2 linked regions of the Macaca fascicularis genome follow. Each later gene encodes a partner of the first gene's protein in a complex. Links are inferred from orthologs where the notes say so. Each region holds a gene or a part of one and is shown on either strand. Other genes may lie near its edges.

The links.
Region 2: the proteins of TJP1 (region 1) and GJC1 are in contact, whole or in part, in a crystal structure (PDB 3SHW), measured with the Homo sapiens proteins. The link is inferred for Macaca fascicularis from reciprocal best matches to the Homo sapiens genes TJP1 and GJC1. Residues at the interface, in NP_003248.3 of Homo sapiens: Lys429, Ser432, Val433, Gly434, Leu435, Arg436, Leu437, Gly449, Val450, Leu451, Val484, Leu487, Leu488, Leu549, Asn551, Gly552, Lys553; in NP_001073852.1 of Homo sapiens: Lys391, Thr392, Ser393, Val394, Trp395, Ile396.

Annotation. Positions count from the first base shown.
Region 1 is NC_088381.1:7,733,921-7,737,730, forward strand, and holds part of TJP1 (tight junction protein 1), read left to right. Parts: intron 1-1,526; coding exon 1,527-1,609; intron 1,610-2,814; coding exon 2,815-3,025; intron 3,026-3,325; coding exon 3,326-3,426; intron 3,427-3,810. UniProt on the Homo sapiens protein: TJP1, TJP2, and TJP3 are closely related scaffolding proteins that link tight junction (TJ) transmembrane proteins such as claudins, junctional adhesion molecules, and occludin to the actin cytoskeleton.
Region 2 is NC_088390.1:65,887,964-65,892,264, reverse strand, and holds the start of GJC1 (gap junction gamma-1 protein), read left to right. Parts: upstream 1-1,236; 5' UTR 1,237-1,428; intron 1,429-1,795; exon of another isoform or gene 1,796-2,007; intron 2,008-4,301. UniProt on the Homo sapiens protein: One gap junction consists of a cluster of closely packed pairs of transmembrane channels, the connexons, through which materials of low MW diffuse from one cell to a neighboring cell.

The sequences.
Region 1 (3,810 bases):
TGTGCCCAGCTGACCCTCAGTAACATCTTTAAACTGCACAGTGTTAATTTAAAGAATCAGAACATCATCTTTTCTTTAATACATTACTTTTCATTTGATTGCCAATTAAATTGAATAAGGATATTTATTTTCTGAACATCAGAAGATTTGCAGACAAATGATTTGAGTAAAATCTGAGCAAGTTAGAAAATGTTTATTTCTATCTTTTTAGTTTATTCAGAAGAGGTTTTGTTTTATTTTGTTTTGTTTGAGACAAGGTCTTACTCTGTTGCCCAGGTTGGAGTGCACTGATGTGATCTCAGCTCACTGCAACCTCTGCCTTCTGGGTTCAAGCGATTCTCCTGTCTCAGCCTCCCCTAGTGGCTGGGATTACAGGCACCTCCCACTGCGCCTGGCTAAGTTATCTGTAGATGACATTTCACCTGAAGAAGTTGGTGGTGACCCTTATCCATAACCAAATGTAGGATTTTTAGATTTGGGAAAAGCAAGTATGATGACTTACAAAGCTCTGCCTTAAAGGGTAATACATTGGTTTAATCAGGTTTACTCCACAAAGAGGAATTCAGGTAGCTTAGTTGTATATCTTCTTTGAATCTAATGACAGTCTTTTGAATTGAGGAGTTAGTCACATTTTTTTTCCAGCCAGAATTCCCAGTTGGTCTTTCTTCTTAATTCTCCAGTGTTCACTAGATTTGAAATTCTGCCCTGCTTGCCCATGGTGCTTTGTCTTATGGTAGTCTCATTCTCTAAAACCATTTATCTTGACCATCAGTGTGACTTGTCTTTCCAGATCTCTGCCTTTGTCTGATCTCTGAAACACCAAAGCTCTTCCTTTCCTTTCAAACTTTCCTTGTGACCACAGTCACAAACGTTGCTGTGCTCTGAGATGGTGGTTGGAAACCAGTCCAAGCTGCATTTGGCACATTATACACCAGTGAAGACAGGTTGCCAGGATGAAGCCATAGGTTGTCTCACAGTTACAGATGAACAACTCGCTGCCCCTAGGTTCCCCTTCTACTGATGTAACTAAGGTCTCTAACCGAGAACTCCCTAGGCAATCTGCTATAGCACCATTACTGATGGTTGATGGACATGCCAAGGTATTGACCTCTTCAGCCAGTAGTGGCTGGTTAGAGCTTGGCAAAGGAGCAGCCTCCTCAGTTTATCTCAGTGTGCCATACAAGTAATATTTTCTCTGGATGTTACAGTGTGAAAAGGGGTGGGAGGTAGTGCCGTGTTGAGCCATGTTAGAGCCCCAGGCAAAAGAAAACAATGTGCATTCCTATATATTTTTTCTTCTTTAATGGCTAATTTTTTTCCAGACTATTAAAGTAGTTGGAAAAATAGTGAAAAAAAAAATGAGAAGTGTGCATATTAAAACTTACTTTAAGTACTGCATGCATAAGACAGTTTCCACAAACAAAGTACTGTCCAGCCCGGCATATCAGTGGTGGCCAGCAGTTGAGAAACTCTGATCTAACCAATGAAAATTTGATGTCTTATTTTTGTCCTGACATAATGAATAGAGAGTGAACCACGAGACGCTGGAACTGACCAACGTAGCTCTGGCATTATTCGCCTGCATACAATAAAGCAAATCATAGATCAAGTAAGTTATTAAAATTTGGCCTATTTCATTATGTTATTGTGGTTTTGAGTGGGATGGGATTTGGTTAATTTGAAAGTAGAAGGTAGTTTTTCTAAGACTATTACTGACATACTATAAGAAAATTAAGCCCTTACTGAAAAGCATTATAATAATTACTTTCTTTTTTTTTTTTTTTTTTGAGACGGAGTCTCGCTCTGTCGCCCAGGCTGGAGTGCAGTGGCCGGATCTCAGCTCACTGCAAGCTCCGCCTCCCGGGTTCACACCATTCTCCTGCCTCAGTCTCCCGAGTAGCTGGGACTACAGGCGCCCACCACCTCGCCCGGCTAGTTTTTTGTATTTTTTAGTAGAGGTGGGGTTTCACCGTGTTAGCCAGGATGGTCTTGATCTCCTGACCTCGTGATCCGCCCGTCTCGGCCTCCCAAAGTGCTGGGATTACAGGCTTGAGCCACCGCGCCCGGCCATAATAATTACTTTCAAGGGAATAGTTACTGTAGGCATCAGAAGATGATTTTTCATTACCAGAAAACAAGTGTATGATGTTTAGATGTAATTAACAGACTGCTTATATATTACATCAGTACAATTCAAGTTGTAGTTTGATATTTACATTCGTAAGGAATATCAGGAACATTAAATTCTTAAACTTATTTTTTTCTAACTGCACACGGATAATACTGTCAGATGGCGGTGTTAGGGCTAAGTCTTAAAAGTGAACTTCATAGAAAGGTTTTTAGAAATTTGGCTAGAAATGGAATTGAATTAACTTAAAATTAGTTTTTTAATATGTGCTCCTGAGACATTAGAATACAATTAAAGATCCGTTACCACTGAAATTTTGTTTGTTTTTGTTTTTGAGGTAGGGTCTTGCTCTGTCACCCAGGCTGGACTGCAGTGGCGTGATCTCGGCTCACTGTAGCCTCCACCTCTCAGGTTCAAGCGATTCTTGTGCCTCAGCCTCTGAAGTAGCTGGGATTACAGGCGTGCACCACCGTGCTTTGCTAGTTTTTGTATTTTTAGTAGAAACAGGGTTTCTCCATACTGCCCAGGCTGGTCTCGAACTCCTGGCCTCAAGTGATTCACCCACCTCGACCTCCCGAAGCGCTAGGATTATAGGCATAGCGTGAGCCACCGCACCCAACTGAATGTGATGATTCTTAATGAATGATGTCTTGTGTCTTTGTATATACTTTGCTTTCTTTTTCTAGGACAAACATGCTTTATTAGATGTAACACCAAATGCAGTTGATCGTCTTAACTATGCCCAGTGGTATCCAATTGTTGTATTTCTTAATCCTGATTCTAAGCAAGGAGTAAAAACAATGAGAATGAGGTTATGTCCAGAATCTCGGAAAAGTGCCAGGAAGTTATATGAGCGATCTCATAAACTTCGTAAAAATAATCACCATCTTTTTACAAGTGAGTATGTTAATAAAGGCCTTCTTTCAGCTTACAATGCCTGGGCAACATTAAGTAGGCCAAAATGTTACAATGTTCAAATACTAAAACTTATACAATCTTTTCTTGGAACGTTTCCTGTTGTGTTAACAGCTGCTGTTTGGTTAAAAGAAAATATACAGTAGCAAAATAGAAATTTCAGATGTTTGCATCCTCAGATACCATCTTTCAGTAATGACGATTTAGCTGTAAGCAGGGTTGAATTCTTCTGACTTTTGGCAGTGCTCTAACCATAAAACTACATCGTTAATTTATTTTCAGCTACAATTAACTTAAATTCAATGAATGATGGTTGGTATGGTGCACTGAAAGAAGCAATTCAACAGCAGCAAAACCAGCTGGTGTGGGTTTCTGAGGGAAAGGTAAGACATTTCCTGTTACGTTTTTGACTTGTTCAGTAAACTATGTAACTAATCAGAGATGCTTTTGAGGTACCAGTGCTTTCTAATTAGATCAACATTTTGGAGAAATTTAGGGAAAGTTAGCTTTTAGGTTTTTATAATTTGTGTGTAGGGGTTATGAAAGTTGTTTCTGATGGTAAGAGAATTCTTAAATTTTCTCACCTGTTGAATTACCACTACAGTAGGATTGTCTCCTAAAGAATCTCAAATTATAATGAAGAGCAGGTTGAGTTCTGATGCTGCCCCTGTCTGGCTATGAATGACGACTTTGAGCCTGGCTTCAGTTTCCTCCTCTGAAAATGAGGGGATTTGGAGGCCTAGATGAGCATCTCTCAAAGTGCTGTC
Region 2 (4,301 bases), on another chromosome or scaffold:
ACCCCACTGCACTCCAGCCTGGGCGACGGAGTGAGACTCTGTCACAAAAACAACAAAAACAACAAAGTGATTTATGCTAGTTTACAGTTGCAGGTTGTGAGAATTTTAATATTTTATTCAACAGGTACAATGATGTTGTTTACTGTGTTATTTTAGTTACATGTTATTTATTATTATTTCCAGGTATTTTCAGGGTTTCCACCCTGGTCATTTTATTTTTTTCACTTAGTTTTTTGAGACAGGGTCTCACTCTGTCGCTCAGGCTAGAGTGCAGTGGCGCGATCTCAGCTTACTGCAGCCTTGCCGGGCTTGAGCGATCCTCCCACCTCATGCTTGGAGTAGCTAGGATCACAGGTGCGTGTCACCACACCCGGCTAATTTTTATATTTTTTGTAGAGATGGGGGTTTTGCCATATTGCCCAGGCTGGTCTGGAACCCCTGGGCTCAAGCAATCCATCTGCCTAGGCCTCCCAAAGTGCTGGAATTACAGGCGTGAGCCACCGCATCCATCCCACACTTGTCATTTTAAATACATCTGTAGAGAGGCAATGTGATAAGACATGGGGACAGACTACAGCAATCACAGGGAGAAGTACTTAAATGCTGCTAGGCCAAGCAGGTCATGAAATGATTTAAGTAGCTGAGTGGGGACATTGCCTACCCGGACAAGGTGACTCAAGAGGAGCTGCCATGTGAAAAGAGCAGCTCAAAGTAAGCACGTTTTGACTTTTTAGGGAGGCCAGAAATCTGGATTTCAATATTTTGGTAATTAATTCATATTTTTGGAAAACACCATACTGGCCACAAAAAACTGGTCAGTGCATTAGATGCCTAGCCTTCAAGTTTTCCACTCTGCGGCTAGCCCTTAGGGCTTGGCTTTGGGTTGGGGAGTTTGACTTGCAGCAAGTAACCTCACTTGTTAGCGCTTAATTTCCTCTGGTCAAAAGGGCAAAATAATAAAAGCCTATCCATCGGCATTCTGATGCTCAGATGAGATAATTCCAGAGGTCGCCCATCTCTTTACTAAGCCTTCCTTTATTAGCCAAAGTCTCACTCTACTTAAAGCATTTGGAGAATTTTCGGTTTCCTACTGGGCATTTTAAAACTGGGGATTCCTATGCATGAAAAATTTTCCCAAGTCCTCTGAATGGGACCCTGCTGGGATGCAAAGAGTTAAGAGGAAATAGCCTATTAGGGTCTTGTTAATCCGAGAAGTTCAGGACCTGAAAAGTATCTAGAGCACTTCTAAGAGCCCCGACTCAAAGACGCTAGGGTAGCTAGATCCACCCAGGGCCCGCCAGATCCTCGAGGAATTGTAGAGCAGAACCTAGAAGGAGACATTAGCATCCCGTGCTACAATGGACCAAGGCCTCGGCGGAGCGCGCAGAAGACAACTCTGGGCCCGCTGAACCAACCCAGGATACCCAGGTAAGGCGAGAACCCACGGCGCCGTTAGCGGCCAGCTCAAACTGAGGCGCGGCTAGCAGGGGACTCTCGCCCGAAAATCAGCTTGGAGGAGAACTGCCCGGAGCGAAGTCTGCGCCCACCCGGGGTCCAAACTCCACGCGGGTGACTCACACGCGCGCCGCGCCTCCCCCGCGTCCCGGACTATCCGAGAGCCCGGCGAGGACTCGACCGCGGAAAGTTGGCGCTCCCGTCGCTTCCCGCGCGTTCCGGGGCGCCCCCTCCCACTCGAGCGCCACGTGCCGCGCGCCCCCCGCTCCCGGGCCGCGGCGGGATGCCCCCGCCCCCACCGCAGCGCGCAGTGCGCAGGCGCCTTCCCGCGGGTCCCGGCGGCGGGAGCGGGAGCGGGAGGCGGCGGCGGCGGCGGCGGGAGCGGCTTCTGCCTCGGCTGGAGACTGAGGCGAAGGCGGCAGCGGCGGAGGAGGTGGAGGAGAGGCGAGGGTGAAGGCGAAGGCGATGGCGACGCTGGGCACATGAGGCCGCGGCCGGCGGGACGGGCCGAGGCCCGGCGGAGGAGGCGGCTCCGGGGGAACCCGCCGCCGGGTGAGGGGCGGCCGCAGGGCCGGCTGAGGAGAAGCGGGCCAGGGGCGGGGTCCCAGGGGGAGGCGGGAGAACTCGTGGGGAGCCCGAAGATGGGCCGAGGAGCACCTCCGGAGGTCCAGGGAAGAGCGCGGCCGGAGCGGAGGGAGGAGGGGGGCGCCGCCGAGGGGTTCCCGCCGAGTCCGGAGGGGCGTCGCCGGCCCGCGTCCTGCCACTGCCCCCGGCGCACCCTCCCTCTTTGTCCCCAAGCGCGCGGCTCCCAAATCCGGAGGGAAACGGCTCGGGGGTGTCTTGGGCCGCGGAGTTGTCGGGGGACTGTCGGGGAGCCCGGGCAGAGGCGGCGCGCACTCGGCGGCACCCCGGCGGTGCCGACAACTACCCGGGCGGTTAGGGGCGCAGGGCGGAGCCGGGCCGCCCCTCGCCACCCGGGCGCTTCGCGGGCTGCTCTTTGTCTCCCCGACTTCGGTCCCTGAGTCTCCGGCCGCTTTCCGCATCTTCCCGCTAGAACTCCTGCCTCTCGGGGGTTAGAGGAGGGTTAGTTCGAGGGCTGGAAGCGGGAAAGCGGGGCGGAAGGACTGGGCTCATCGCCTCCTGATTAACTCGTTTTCTTTACTTAAAATGACTTTTCCCCCACTTTGTCAAACTTTAGAGAACGTGTGTGTATGTGTGTGTGTGTGTGTGTGTGTGTGTGTGTGTGTGTGTGTGTGTGTGTATCCTTAAGTCTCTAGCTTCAAAATTAAGAGTAGGCGCTACCGCTGTGATTGTGGGCAGTTGTGTGGTTGTCGACTGCGTTTGGAGCTCTGAGTTGAAAAGATTTACGTGAATGTATGGTTGAGATTTTTTTTCTTTTTTTGCGATTGTCTGATTGGGAGTACTTTTCCCTTGCGAAATGGGCGAATTTGGTTTTTCTTTTTGTTCATTGAGAACTGGTAGTAATACGGATTTCATTGTGCTCATGCTTAATTTTGTTAACATCAAGACGATGTGAAATCGAGTAAGTTTGAATAAGTTCTGGCTGAGGGTATGCCTGATAAGTCTAAATTTGTTGTATGTTTGTGTCGTGTACACGTTCAAGTGAGTATATGAAAGCGCTATAAAAAATCAAACTATATAAATGAAAGGGATTTTAATTTCCTAATAAGCAGGAAACAGCATATCTCCAGTACATTAATATCTGTAGAAAAATGCGTTAATAATGTCATTTAGGAGTAAAATATTTCTCTCCCTAGGGAGGGTTTAGGTATTATTCAGAGTAAAAGAGTAAAAAAATTTCAACCTCAGAGGGTATGGAAAAAAAACAGAAAAATACCCTTACTTCCAGAACTCCTGATTAAAATACTGTGAGTTGTGGGTTAAGTTTACTGATCTTTTTAAAAACTTAGCATAGAGTTGTATCACTGCAGTTGCTTTGGATGTCTTAAGTACTGTGTAATGGCAGAATTAAAGAAACACGAACTCTTCTGGGTAGAAGGTAAAAAGCTCCGATAAACAGATCTTAGTTTTAAGTTTTCCCCAGATTTTTGTGCCCTGAGTGCTGTAGGCAAAGGGCGTATTGAAGAGATACATAGAAGTTATATGCAAGGTCTGTTAATATTTGTCCTGATTTGTAATGGCTTAATATTATTTACTGCTTCAACTGTTGTGCAATTTTCCAAAGCATTTCAAACATCCTTTTCAAAAGTTAGCACTTTTAACTTTTGAGGTTGTGTGACTTAAGAATTGTTTTCTACCAGGTAGCCACCACAGTTCTCTTAAAAAAGAGCAAAGGACCTGGTAATTTTCTCTCTAATCAATTCATGAAGGTGAAACTGAGTTTTAGCTTTTAATTCAAAGGACTTAAGTTAACACATCTCCAACATAACAATCTTACTTATAAGCTATTATCCTTTGTCAATTAAATGTTATTCTTTTATTTGTATAAGTCAGCCAAAGGGAAGGAATGCAGGGTTCTGTTTCTGATTAGTCCACTTCCCCCCAGGTCCAGGCTTGCCTATCAATCAGTTCAGTAACGAGGATCTTAGAATACAGGATATATAATTTAAATCCAGAGCATCATTATCTTAACAAATGAGTAGTGGTTGTTCCATGCCTAATTCAATGCAAAGTGATGAGTTCCAAAAAACTATTGCTTTATTTGCATTTCGTTCACATTTCAAAATTGGTGAGGTGTGTCCTTTTTTCTTTTTCTTTTTTTTTTTTTTTTTTAAGACAAGACGTTGTTATGTTGCCCAGGCTGTCATAGTACACTGCAGCCTCAAATTCCTGGGCTCAAATCATCCTCCTGCCTCAGCCTCCTG